Saccharomyces cerevisiae S288C: one gene and its partners. The main gene of each other region encodes a partner of the protein of the gene in region 2 in a complex. Each region holds a gene or a part of one and is shown on either strand. Other genes may lie near its edges.

Region 1 (3,141 bases), on a different chromosome or scaffold from region 2:
AGGCCACTAACAGCTTCTCTTTAAGAGTGACCATGGTTCGTAACGAGGCCAATTCGGCACTCGGATCGGTAACAATAAAGGGTCTTACGGGGCCCTGCTTGATATCCAGTTCGGGCACGGGATCATCCTGCTCTACACGTTTGTACGTTTTCTCTTCCGACATGACCGTGCTTGTAGCTGTTAGCTGTTTCTTGATAGGCTCTTCTGATACTACCTCGCTTTAACAATGCACCTGTTTGTCTTGTTTTGCTGCTCGAAAATAATCAAGATCTGCTTAGAAACGCCAAACTCTTCTTCGACACGTGTCGAGAAAAAAAACGCAGCGAAAAAAAAAAAAAAGGTATATCATCACAATATACGATATAAATGGGCAGGGCAACCCCGAATGATGTATATTCTCTTCTGGTTCCAAGGGTGGCAAATGTTGGTAGAAAGCGTAATTGAAGCAAAGATCCGTTAAATAAGGCCAACTAACAGAAGCGCTGAAAGAGGACAATTGGTGATTAATCTATAAACGAGGAACTTCATGTCTCTGCCAGGTTCGAAATTAGAAGAGGCCAGGAGACTGGTTAATGAAAAACAGTATAATGAGGCAGAACAAGTCTATTTGAGCCTGCTGGATAAAGACAGCTCACAGAGCAGCGCCGCTGCCGGTGCCAGTGTGGATGACAAGCGTAGAAATGAACAGGAGACAAGCATATTGGAATTAGGACAGTTATACGTGACTATGGGTGCAAAGGACAAATTGCGCGAGTTTATTCCTCATTCTACGGAGTATATGATGCAATTTGCCAAATCCAAAACGGTAAAGGTATTGAAAACGTTGATTGAAAAATTCGAGCAAGTGCCGGACTCCTTGGACGATCAGATCTTTGTGTGCGAGAAAAGCATCGAATTTGCCAAGAGAGAAAAAAGGGTGTTTTTGAAGCATTCACTCTCGATCAAATTGGCCACCTTACATTATCAAAAGAAACAGTACAAGGACTCATTAGCATTGATTAACGATCTTTTGAGGGAGTTCAAAAAGCTGGACGACAAGCCCTCTTTGGTTGATGTACATCTATTGGAAAGTAAAGTTTACCATAAACTGAGGAATCTAGCCAAGTCCAAGGCCTCGTTGACTGCAGCAAGGACGGCCGCTAACTCCATATACTGTCCTACACAAACAGTTGCGGAGCTGGACTTGATGAGTGGTATCCTGCACTGTGAAGATAAAGACTACAAAACTGCATTTTCGTATTTCTTCGAAAGTTTTGAAAGCTACCACAATTTGACTACGCATAATTCCTACGAAAAGGCATGTCAAGTGTTGAAATACATGCTATTGTCTAAGATCATGCTGAACCTTATTGATGACGTAAAAAACATCCTAAACGCAAAATACACAAAGGAAACGTACCAGTCCCGAGGCATTGATGCCATGAAAGCTGTCGCTGAGGCTTATAACAACAGATCGCTTTTAGACTTCAACACGGCGCTAAAGCAATACGAGAAGGAACTAATGGGCGATGAACTAACAAGATCCCATTTCAATGCATTATACGACACGTTATTAGAGTCCAATTTGTGTAAGATTATTGAGCCATTTGAATGTGTGGAAATATCCCACATTTCCAAAATAATCGGTCTGGATACTCAACAAGTTGAAGGAAAGCTCTCCCAAATGATACTAGATAAGATATTCTACGGTGTTCTGGATCAAGGTAATGGTTGGCTTTACGTTTACGAAACTCCGAATCAGGATGCCACGTACGACTCTGCATTGGAATTAGTCGGGCAACTAAATAAAGTCGTCGATCAACTATTTGAAAAGGCAAGTGTCTTGTATTAGGTTTACATGTATATATATGTATGTATACTCACAAGTACCAGAGTAAGAATTCCTAAATAAACTTATAAAATGCAGAAAATACATAAGTATGATTTTTCTTTTTTTTCTCCTAAGAAAGGAAGAAGTTTAATCGAATGCGCCGCTAAATAGAAAACAGTTGATGCGAAAGTTCATCAAAACCAGAAGTTCCTACAAGCCTTAGCTGACAAAAATTCGAGAAAGCTAATGTCGAATTTTGGCAGAAGAACTTGGGATAGAGAGGAGTATGCTGAGCAGGCTAGAAGCGGCTATGACGATCGATCCTTAAAGGCTACGCTAACACCGATTGAATTACAAGCTTTAAAATCCAAATATACAAATTACGATCATTTAATCAAGGGCTCGCTAAAAGACCTAAATAAAAGGAAACTAACAGCAAATACAGAGAGCTTATCGTCTTTCAAGAGGGGAAAGAAGTTCGGATTTTACTGCGATATTTGTAACCTAACCTTCAAAGACACTTTACAATACATTGATCATCTCAACCACAAGGTCCATGCAATAAAATTTGAAAATTTGTTTGATGAACCGTTAATTATAGATATAAGAGATAATGATGACGTACCGCAAGAGGAGTTTGAGTTGTGCTATCATAACTTGATAAAGGATTTTGTAGAGGTGCGTTCTATGGAGACTCAGTCCAAGAGGAAAAGGCTTTTGGACACAGATGTGGAGAAAGCAAAGAAAGTGGCTACTAAGCCTTCTATTGAGAGTGAATCAAAAGTCAGTCAAATGATGGGATTTTCCAATTTTGCCACCTCTAAAAAATGAGAAACCAAGTAAAGATAAATGAGCATAATACAAGCATAGAGCACATATAAAAAGTCGGGACTCAGATCAGATCATTAGATATATCTTTTATGTATATAAACCCTTAATTAAAATATATACGCGAAAATATTCATTCTCAAAATTCCATTATTGGGCCAGAACCAATACTTCTCCAAGTGGTCATGTCTACGTTCCACTGGCGCCATTTGTTCAGCATAACGCGATCCACTTCCATATTATTCCCGTGGGCCACCTGCGTACCAGAATTGGTTACAGATTGTGAGGGAGTTAGATTATTGCTTGAAGTGTTGAAATCCGCAAATTGAATAGGAGTTGCTGTGGTATTTCTTGCTGCCTTAGCTTCTGCTAATTTTAATTTTTCTACTGCGGCAATTAATTCATCCCTTGCGGTTTGCAAATCGTTTTGTAAACCATTAATGATGTCTTCTTTTTCCTGCAATTGATCCTGTAGGTCATCGACAGTAGTTTCATTTTCCATA
Region 2 (4,283 bases):
ATTTACTGTTTGGGGTGGGCTAACTTCGGTGCCTGAGCTACCCAGAAATGTTGATCCAATAGTTATTATAAGACTGTTGACAATATCGCTCCTCAGCAACAACTGATTTATTACATTGGCACCTCCTTCAACCATTACTGACCTTATATTGAATTCTTCTTTTAATATCTCAAACAATTTCTTCCAATCGACCAATTTCGTAGTATCATTTATTGGACAAATTGCGTAGTCTACATGTTGTTCTTTTATAATGGGCTCACTTGTGACAACAACGATTGGCGGCTTACCCTGTCGTTTAATAAAAAGTTCTTGCATTTTTGAACCATCAAATCGCCACTTTTGCTTTGTATCTATTATTATTGGCCTTGGGGAATTTGCAGCCGGATCGGGACCCCATTTACAATTCAATCCAGGATTATCAGCTAGCACTGTTCCACTTCCTACGAGTATTCCATCGTGATGATGTCTCAAATAATGCGTCATTGTTTTGGTCTCGGGATGTGAAATTGTAGTCCTCACTCCAGGGCCCCTAGATACTCTCGCGTCGAGCGATTGAGCATAAGTTAGTGTGACAAAGGGCACAATGGTATTTTCCGTTTGACCAGCATTCGGTAGATAGTTTTGCAGAAATTGTGGTAAATCTTCACACAGTGGTGTCAAAGACATATCTTCTAAAAATGTTGATAGTAATACAAAGAAGCTACCAATAGGTTGGTACTGTATTTCTGCTAGATTGTTTCATCGTATCCAAAGCCAGATGTAATGGTTCTGCGAAAAAATTTGATATCTTCATCTTTGCCTCTTTTTTCTGTTTCGGGATTTTCCCGACATCAACTAACTGAAAGGCATGTGGGTTTGTGTGTGTGATGCGGTGTTATATAACCGAATATTCAGTTTCTTCGTAATCTCTACTATTCTTGCCTAGGTCACCAAATTCAACATTTTTAGTTCTTGTAATCTTGTAACGGTTGTTATTGTGAGATTTTTCTACTTTTTCAGCCGATCTTTGTTTTTTGTGATCAAGTTTCTCTTTCTCCTTGTCCAAGATAACGTCGTATTTGGTATTCCCATCTTTGCCTTTTTGCATCGCTTCAAATCGTTTTGCCTCATATTCTTCTGATTCTCTTTGTTTCGCAAGTTGTATTCTTCTATGCTTTTGCTTTCGTTCGTTCTGCCTTTCAAACCATTTCTGTCTCTCCTTTTCTGAATCGACTTCATCGTTATCATCTAAGAGCAAGCACTGCTTGATCAATTCTTCGTTGGTGCTGTAATTGGTGTTAAGTCTCAGCTTCATCGTTTCGTAGTTCTTTGCCACTTGATTAGCTTTGTCGATGTTTTTTATCATATTTTCCTTCTTTGTTTGCAGAACTCGTGCGTCATCTTGGGCATTCCAGGGTTGATCTATCTTGGTAGCTTTCTGCAAATTATTGGCCTTTTTCTTCATAAATAATGGCCTCGGTAAAGGTCTCATATCGTCACTATCGCTCGAATCACTGTTGTCGCTACTTTCTTCACTTTCGGGACTCTCATCACTTTCGGGACTCCCATCACTTTCATTTGATTCTTGGCCATCATTGGGGGTGCGGTTCTTTCCTGTACCATTTAAAATTTCGCCGCCCAAATCACTATGGCTTAATGAGGCTGATTTTTCTGTTAGAGATACGTTTTGGTCTGGATGCTCTTCATCCGCCGAAGAGCTTTCATCTGCTGAGCTTGTGTCAAGTCTCCTCTTGAAATGTCTAAAACTCATCGTATGTGATTCAAATCAGTAACCAAAAAAAATTCTTAATCTAGCGGTGGCGGTAGAAATCTGCATTTGTTCTTTCTTTACTGGGAACAACGAAGAATTGCTTTTCTCAATATATGGCGAAATATTGCATGTTTGCAAAAATTATAAAATGAAATAATGAGCAGCAAGTGGAAAACAGAAAAAAAATCAGATGAAAATATGAAATGGATTAAGAAAATGGCCAAAGAATCTTTCATGTATGGAAAGTTGAAATACAGGATCCCTTTTGCAAATAAAACTTTTCATTATCATCTTAGCGTTATAAATATATATGCGTGCTTTAGAACTATGTACATTTAAAAGCTACTCTGATGGCAAATTTTATGGCGTCAAAAGATTGTATTTTGCTGGCCAACCTTTACCAGCTTTGATATTTCTTAATACAGCGAACTTTTTCGGGAAACGGCAACGTTGGTTCTTCAGGAACAATCAGATGTTCGACAATAGAAGGAACTATGGTTGGAGTTACTCTTCCCAACCAAATTAAGGTATTTGGATTTCGTAAATAAATTTGAACATTTGCAGCAAATTTGTGACCACCAACATGATTAACAAATGCAATTTTGACACCCTCTGCCCTGTAATCCGAATTGTCCCTATACAGCCCATGTTCCTGTAATTTACTGTCAAAAACTTTCTTTAAATAGGGTGCCGTAATCCCGCATCGTTTATCCCTCGTAGTATGTGAACATATAAATACAAATGCACGTTCACGTGCAACGGCAACATTTGGTCGTGTTTCTAGCAATTTCTCTCTTGAAATATTCTCGTCTAATAAGTCAGGAACTAAACCATCCAGCGTTGCTTCGACGTCATCTGATCTAAGGTCGTTCAGCCAAATGAAGTAAGGCAAAATAAGTACATTATTCTTGGTTCCCCGCATAACATCAATATCCATGATATCTTTAGGTAAAGATGAAACTGCACAGTTTAGTGTCTTGCCTGTGCCCACGTTGGAAAATTTAGCTGAATTCTTATCACACCACTGGGAAATTTTATACTGTACTGACTTTGGGTCCTCGAGGCAGGCATCATGCTGCCAATCGATTTGAGAGGTGGGGACAACGAAGTGAATTTTTGGCGTTTTAGAAGAGTTCAACAAAGGAGTTTCATGTTCGATCTTTAGTTTCGCAAAGGCCTGCTCTCCTTCTTCAATTTCTGTTTTGCAATCACCAGAGCAGCTATGTTCGTTAGCAGCATCGTCACTTTTGCATATCTTAATCGATTGAGAAATTTCCTCCCGTCCCTTTGCGCTCAGTTGTGAAGCTTCATCACCACGTTTTTGCTTGAAAATATTCAAAAAAGCCATAATTCAAAGGACAAAGAAGATATCTCTCTCTTGGCCGCCTTCTTGCCTCCTCCGAATATAGCCAAGTACTTTCTTTTCTTATACCTCGAACAGAAAGAAAACCAGTATGTTATACTACTATTCGGTTAGAATTTCAACTTTGCGTTATCATCATATGATCTCAACAATATAAATAGAAGATATCATCAGCGCCAAGAGTGGAACTCTCCCTCTCCTTGCACTTGTTTTAAGAAACTTTTAGCCCTTATTTCCATCTTTATTTCCGCTTTTATTTCCGCAGCACCGGTGAACCCTCTTTTTTATACCTTCAGAATTTTCTTTGCACCTAAAAAGTTCAAATTGCCCTTTAAAAAATATTTATAATACCCTAAAGGGTCCACATTTTCATTTTGACCCTACTCCGCCAGAAAATGTTGATTTATCATGCCTATTTTCAGCCACTGCCCAAAGTCTACTTAAAATAGAGTAAACTTTATATTACGACTACTCTTTTTTAAGTTAACAATGATTACAAGCCCAGCAGGAGTTGTGTGAATGAATATGGATTCTGGTATTACAAGTAGTCATGGAAGCATGGATAAGACACAAAAGCAAAGTTCTGAGTGGGCAGCTAACCAGAAACATAATCAAAGAGTCGAAAATACAAGAGTTTTAATGGGCCCCGCTGTCCCTGCGATGCCTCCAGTACCATCAAATTTTCCGCCTGTTCCAACTGGTACAATAATGTCGCCTCAGTTGAGCCCTTTTCCGGATCACCGTTTAAGACATCACCCATTAGCTCATATGATGCCTGCTGATAAGAATTTTCTGGCATATAACATGGAGTCTTTCAAAAGTAGAGTGACTAAAGCATGTGATTATTGTCGGAAGAGGAAGATTAGATGTACGGAAATCGAGCCGATTTCTGGTAAATGTAGAAACTGTATCAAGTATAATAAAGATTGCACGTTTCATTTCCATGAAGAACTGAAAAGAAGGCGAGAAGAAGCTTTGAATAACAAGGGAAATGGGAAGTCGGTTAAGAAGCCGAGGTTGGATAAGGAGAATAAGTTCAAGGATGAAAATTTTGATATCGCCGTGCGATCAAGAAATACTTCTTCTACAGACAGCTCGCCGAAATTACACACCAACTTATCACAAGAATATATTGGAGTTTCTGCCGGCAAAAGTGCAAGCGATAAAGAA
Region 3 (3,171 bases), on a different chromosome or scaffold from region 2:
TACACATGATGGTTCTCGGTGGCATTGAGTTTAAATGCATCTTAATGAAGTTAATCGAAATCAGACCGAATTTCCAGCAGTTGAACTTCTTATTGAATGTAAAAAATGAGAACGGTTTTGACTCGAAATATATTATTGCTTTGCTTCTGGTTTATGCGCGGTTACAGTATTATTATTTGAATGGCAATAACAAAAACGATGATGATGAAAATGATTTGATAAAGTTATTTAAAGTACAATTATACAAATATTCACAGCATTATTTCAAACTAAAAAGTTTCCCACTACAAGTAGACTGCTTTGCTCACTCCTATAACGAAGAACTTTGTATAATACACATTGATGAATTAGTCGATTGGTTGGCCACACAGGACCATATCTGGGGTATTCCATTAGGGAAATGTCAATGGAATAAAATATACAACTCTGATGAAGAGAGTAGTTCTAGCGAAAGCGAAAGTAATGGTGACAGTGAAGATGACAACGACACCAGCAGCGAATCATAGACCTCTTCTTGGCCTTTTATTCGCTGGTGCACCAAAATCGCGCCTTCTCTTTTTGCTGGGGTCATTTGCAATTTGACCCGATCTTCTTAGGGAATTAAGTTGCTTTTGGTCAACCAAAAGTGAATCCAGGTTCAAGGAATCAGGTAAGATTATCTGTCTTATGGTATTGCCTCTAATGTTTATGTATTGCAAACTTGCTATGTTGTCACTTGCAGTAGGTTGCTGTCCTCCAGTCAAGTACAGACTAGCCATCGCAATACCATTACTGTTCAATTTATTTAGTCGGGGTTGTGGTAGGGTCAACTTCACGTCAGTTAAGATAGCATTCATTTGTGGTGATACCGACTGCAGTGTACCCCAAACGGTGGTACCGTTTTTTAGTTCTATGGTAACCTGCTCATTGCGCAGCTTTTTTAAAAAGTTAACCAACTTCATAATCTTTTTCTCGACGATTTATAAACGATACTTGGAGTCATCTTTCTTCATGACAATTTCATTGTATATGAACATTTCATATATTTTATTATTTTAAATATTCATTGAAAAATCATTAAATACGAAACTCAGAATTTATAATGGGGAATACTTTATGTAATAATATAATCATAAAATATATAATTCTTATTATTTTATTATAAATGTATTCCATATATAATATATAAGAAGCCATGAGCTTTTACTACTTCTTGGTATCATCACGATGCAAAATTTTTACCCGTGGTACGAAAAGGTTTTCTTTAGGTTGGAACGACGGCTGGGTTTGAGCGGATGATGACTGAGGCTGAGAGGAGTTTGATATTTTTAACTTCTCTTGCAAAAGCATTTTCTTCTTCCTTTGTTTCAAAACCTCTTTACCCGCTTCCTCAATAATAACCACATTACTGTTCTTGGTCTTAGAAATGGTGCTTTTTTCACGATTTTCACGCTTCTTCTTGCCTCTGTTCCGTTTTTTCTTTGGTATCTTAGCGGATGCTTCCTCTTCTTTGAATTTCTTTTTGGCGTTTTTATTTTTCTTCTTTTTGTTCTTATTCTTGACCTTATCACCAGTTCCAACCAGCTCTGTTAACACCCTTTCTGTTCTTTCTGCTATTTTATTTTCTAACTCTATGCTTTTTGAGAATTCTTTTTCTAAAGATTTCAATACGCTAAAATCTTGGAATGAGTACTCGTCATTTTCATTCAGCTGTTTCATTGAATTCATAAATGTTTTAAAAATTTCGTCTTCTTCAATTGTTCCTACTAGCGCGGCATCCTTTTTTGATGTTTGAGTGAATTTCTTTACGTAGGGCGACAGTTTCATATCTGGAATTGTAATATTATCCTTATTATCAATGAATTTACAAGTTTTAATGAAATTTGCGCATTTTTCCAAGTCTGATAAGTTGTCGAACAAGAAATTGCACCGAGAATATGTCGAGTTTTTGAATACTTTACTAGAATAATGACCTTCAAAAAAACACCAGTCACTGTACTTGAGTTTACCCTGGATATCTTGCTTATCACCATCATCGTTATTATTATCTCGTAAGATGGCAAAAAATTCATCTGCAGTCAAATTTGGAGGTAGCAATCTAATAACAAGCTTAAATCCTTCATTCTCGGTTGATTTACCCAATCTAGCCTTTCTTTTATAGTTATAATACTCTCTGTTCCTTTTCTTGTTATTCCTTCTGCCTTTGCTATTGTTGTGGGTAGCATTAGTAGCATTATTAACCTTATTCTCATTCTTTTTAGGATCTACCGTCTCATTCTTACTTTTTCCTCTGTTCTTGTTATGATACCTATTTCCCCTGCCTTTCTTTTTCCCCTCACTATTCTTCAATTCCCCAGCCACATTGCTCATGATAGATTACTATATATTTCAGCAGAAATGTAAGTCCCTCAGTAGGTTTTCCTTTCCTCTTTGCTGATATATTCATGCAATAATCATCGACAATATTTTCTTTTGTATCTTACTTTTTAGGCGAAAAATTTTCAACTTTTGATCAGCAAACAATACACAAAATAAATAAAGGGATGATAAACCATAGAATAACAAAAGTCTTCCGAAATAGCATATGTACCAATCTACTCAATCATTAATATGAACACTGCATTGGATGATTTACATGGGGATTTGGTGACTTTAGAAGATAACGAAATCATCAATAATTCTGATCATTCATCTTCTCACTCTACTAGTCATGAGGAGGAAGACGAGGAAGAAGACGATACTGAGGATATAGAACTTATAGAAAAAGACGGCAATAAAATCCTATCAAGTAGAATTCATCCGGAAGACGAAATCATAAATGATGGGTTAAATATATGGATTCCGGTTCAAATGCTCAAGAAGAATATAGCAAAGTTCTGGTCCCATTTTCTAGCAATTGAAAAGAAATTAACGAAAGTTAAATGTAAACATTGTGGAGAGATACTAACAAGAAGCGATGCAAGTTTGACAAAAACCTTTAGATCTCACTTGAAAACAAAGCATAATATAAGTGCCAATAAAAACTTCTATTCCATGAATTTCACAGTAGGAGACTCCAATCTCAAAAACAATACTTCCAGCACAGAAATTACACGTAGACACGGCTATGATTCGTTAACCTTCAATTCCGACCAAAGTTTCAAATGCTTTGACATAGGAAAATTACAGAGCAGTAATTACCTTTCTATTTCC

Evidence for each region.
Region 1: SPP381 (region 2) and SNU23 share a complex: the UniProt entries of both Saccharomyces cerevisiae proteins name them as parts of the U4/U6-U5 tri-snRNP complex.
Region 3: SPP381 (region 2) and SMD1 share a complex: the UniProt entries of both Saccharomyces cerevisiae proteins name them as parts of the U4/U6-U5 tri-snRNP complex.

What each region holds. Positions count from the first base shown.
Region 1 is NC_001136.10:284,081-287,221, reverse strand, and holds SNU23 (U4/U6-U5 snRNP complex subunit SNU23), read left to right. Parts: upstream 1-2,056; coding exon 2,057-2,641; downstream 2,642-3,141. Other genes in the region: dolichyl-phosphate-mannose-protein mannosyltransferase PMT1, read right to left, coding at 1-163; proteasome regulatory particle lid subunit RPN6, read left to right, coding at 527-1,831; BUG1 (Bug1p), read right to left, coding at 2,778-3,141. UniProt on the Saccharomyces cerevisiae protein: Participates in pre-mRNA splicing. Part of the U4/U5/U6 tri-snRNP complex, one of the building blocks of the spliceosome.
Region 2 is NC_001134.8:543,843-548,125, reverse strand, and holds SPP381 (U4/U6-U5 snRNP complex subunit SPP381), read right to left. Parts: upstream 1,751-4,283; coding exon 875-1,750; downstream 1-874. Other genes in the region: RIB7 (2,5-diamino-6-(ribosylamino)-4(3H)-pyrimidinone 5'-phosphate reductase), read right to left, coding at 1-666; APD1 (Apd1p), read right to left, coding at 2,148-3,098; TBS1 (Tbs1p), read left to right, coding at 3,633-4,283. UniProt on the Saccharomyces cerevisiae protein: Component of the spliceosome and rRNA processing machinery. In association with the spliceosomal U4/U6.U5 tri-snRNP particle, required for splicing of pre-mRNA.
Region 3 is NC_001139.9:633,482-636,652, reverse strand, and holds SMD1 (mRNA splicing protein SMD1), read right to left. Parts: upstream 942-3,171; coding exon 501-941; downstream 1-500. Other genes in the region: U4/U6-U5 snRNP complex subunit PRP38, read left to right, coding at 1-506; UPF3 (Upf3p), read right to left, coding at 1,186-2,349; ENV11 (Env11p), read left to right, coding at 2,590-3,171. UniProt on the Saccharomyces cerevisiae protein: lays a role in pre-mRNA splicing as a core component of the spliceosomal U1, U2, U4 and U5 small nuclear ribonucleoproteins (snRNPs), the building blocks of the spliceosome. Also binds telomerase RNA and is required for its accumulation.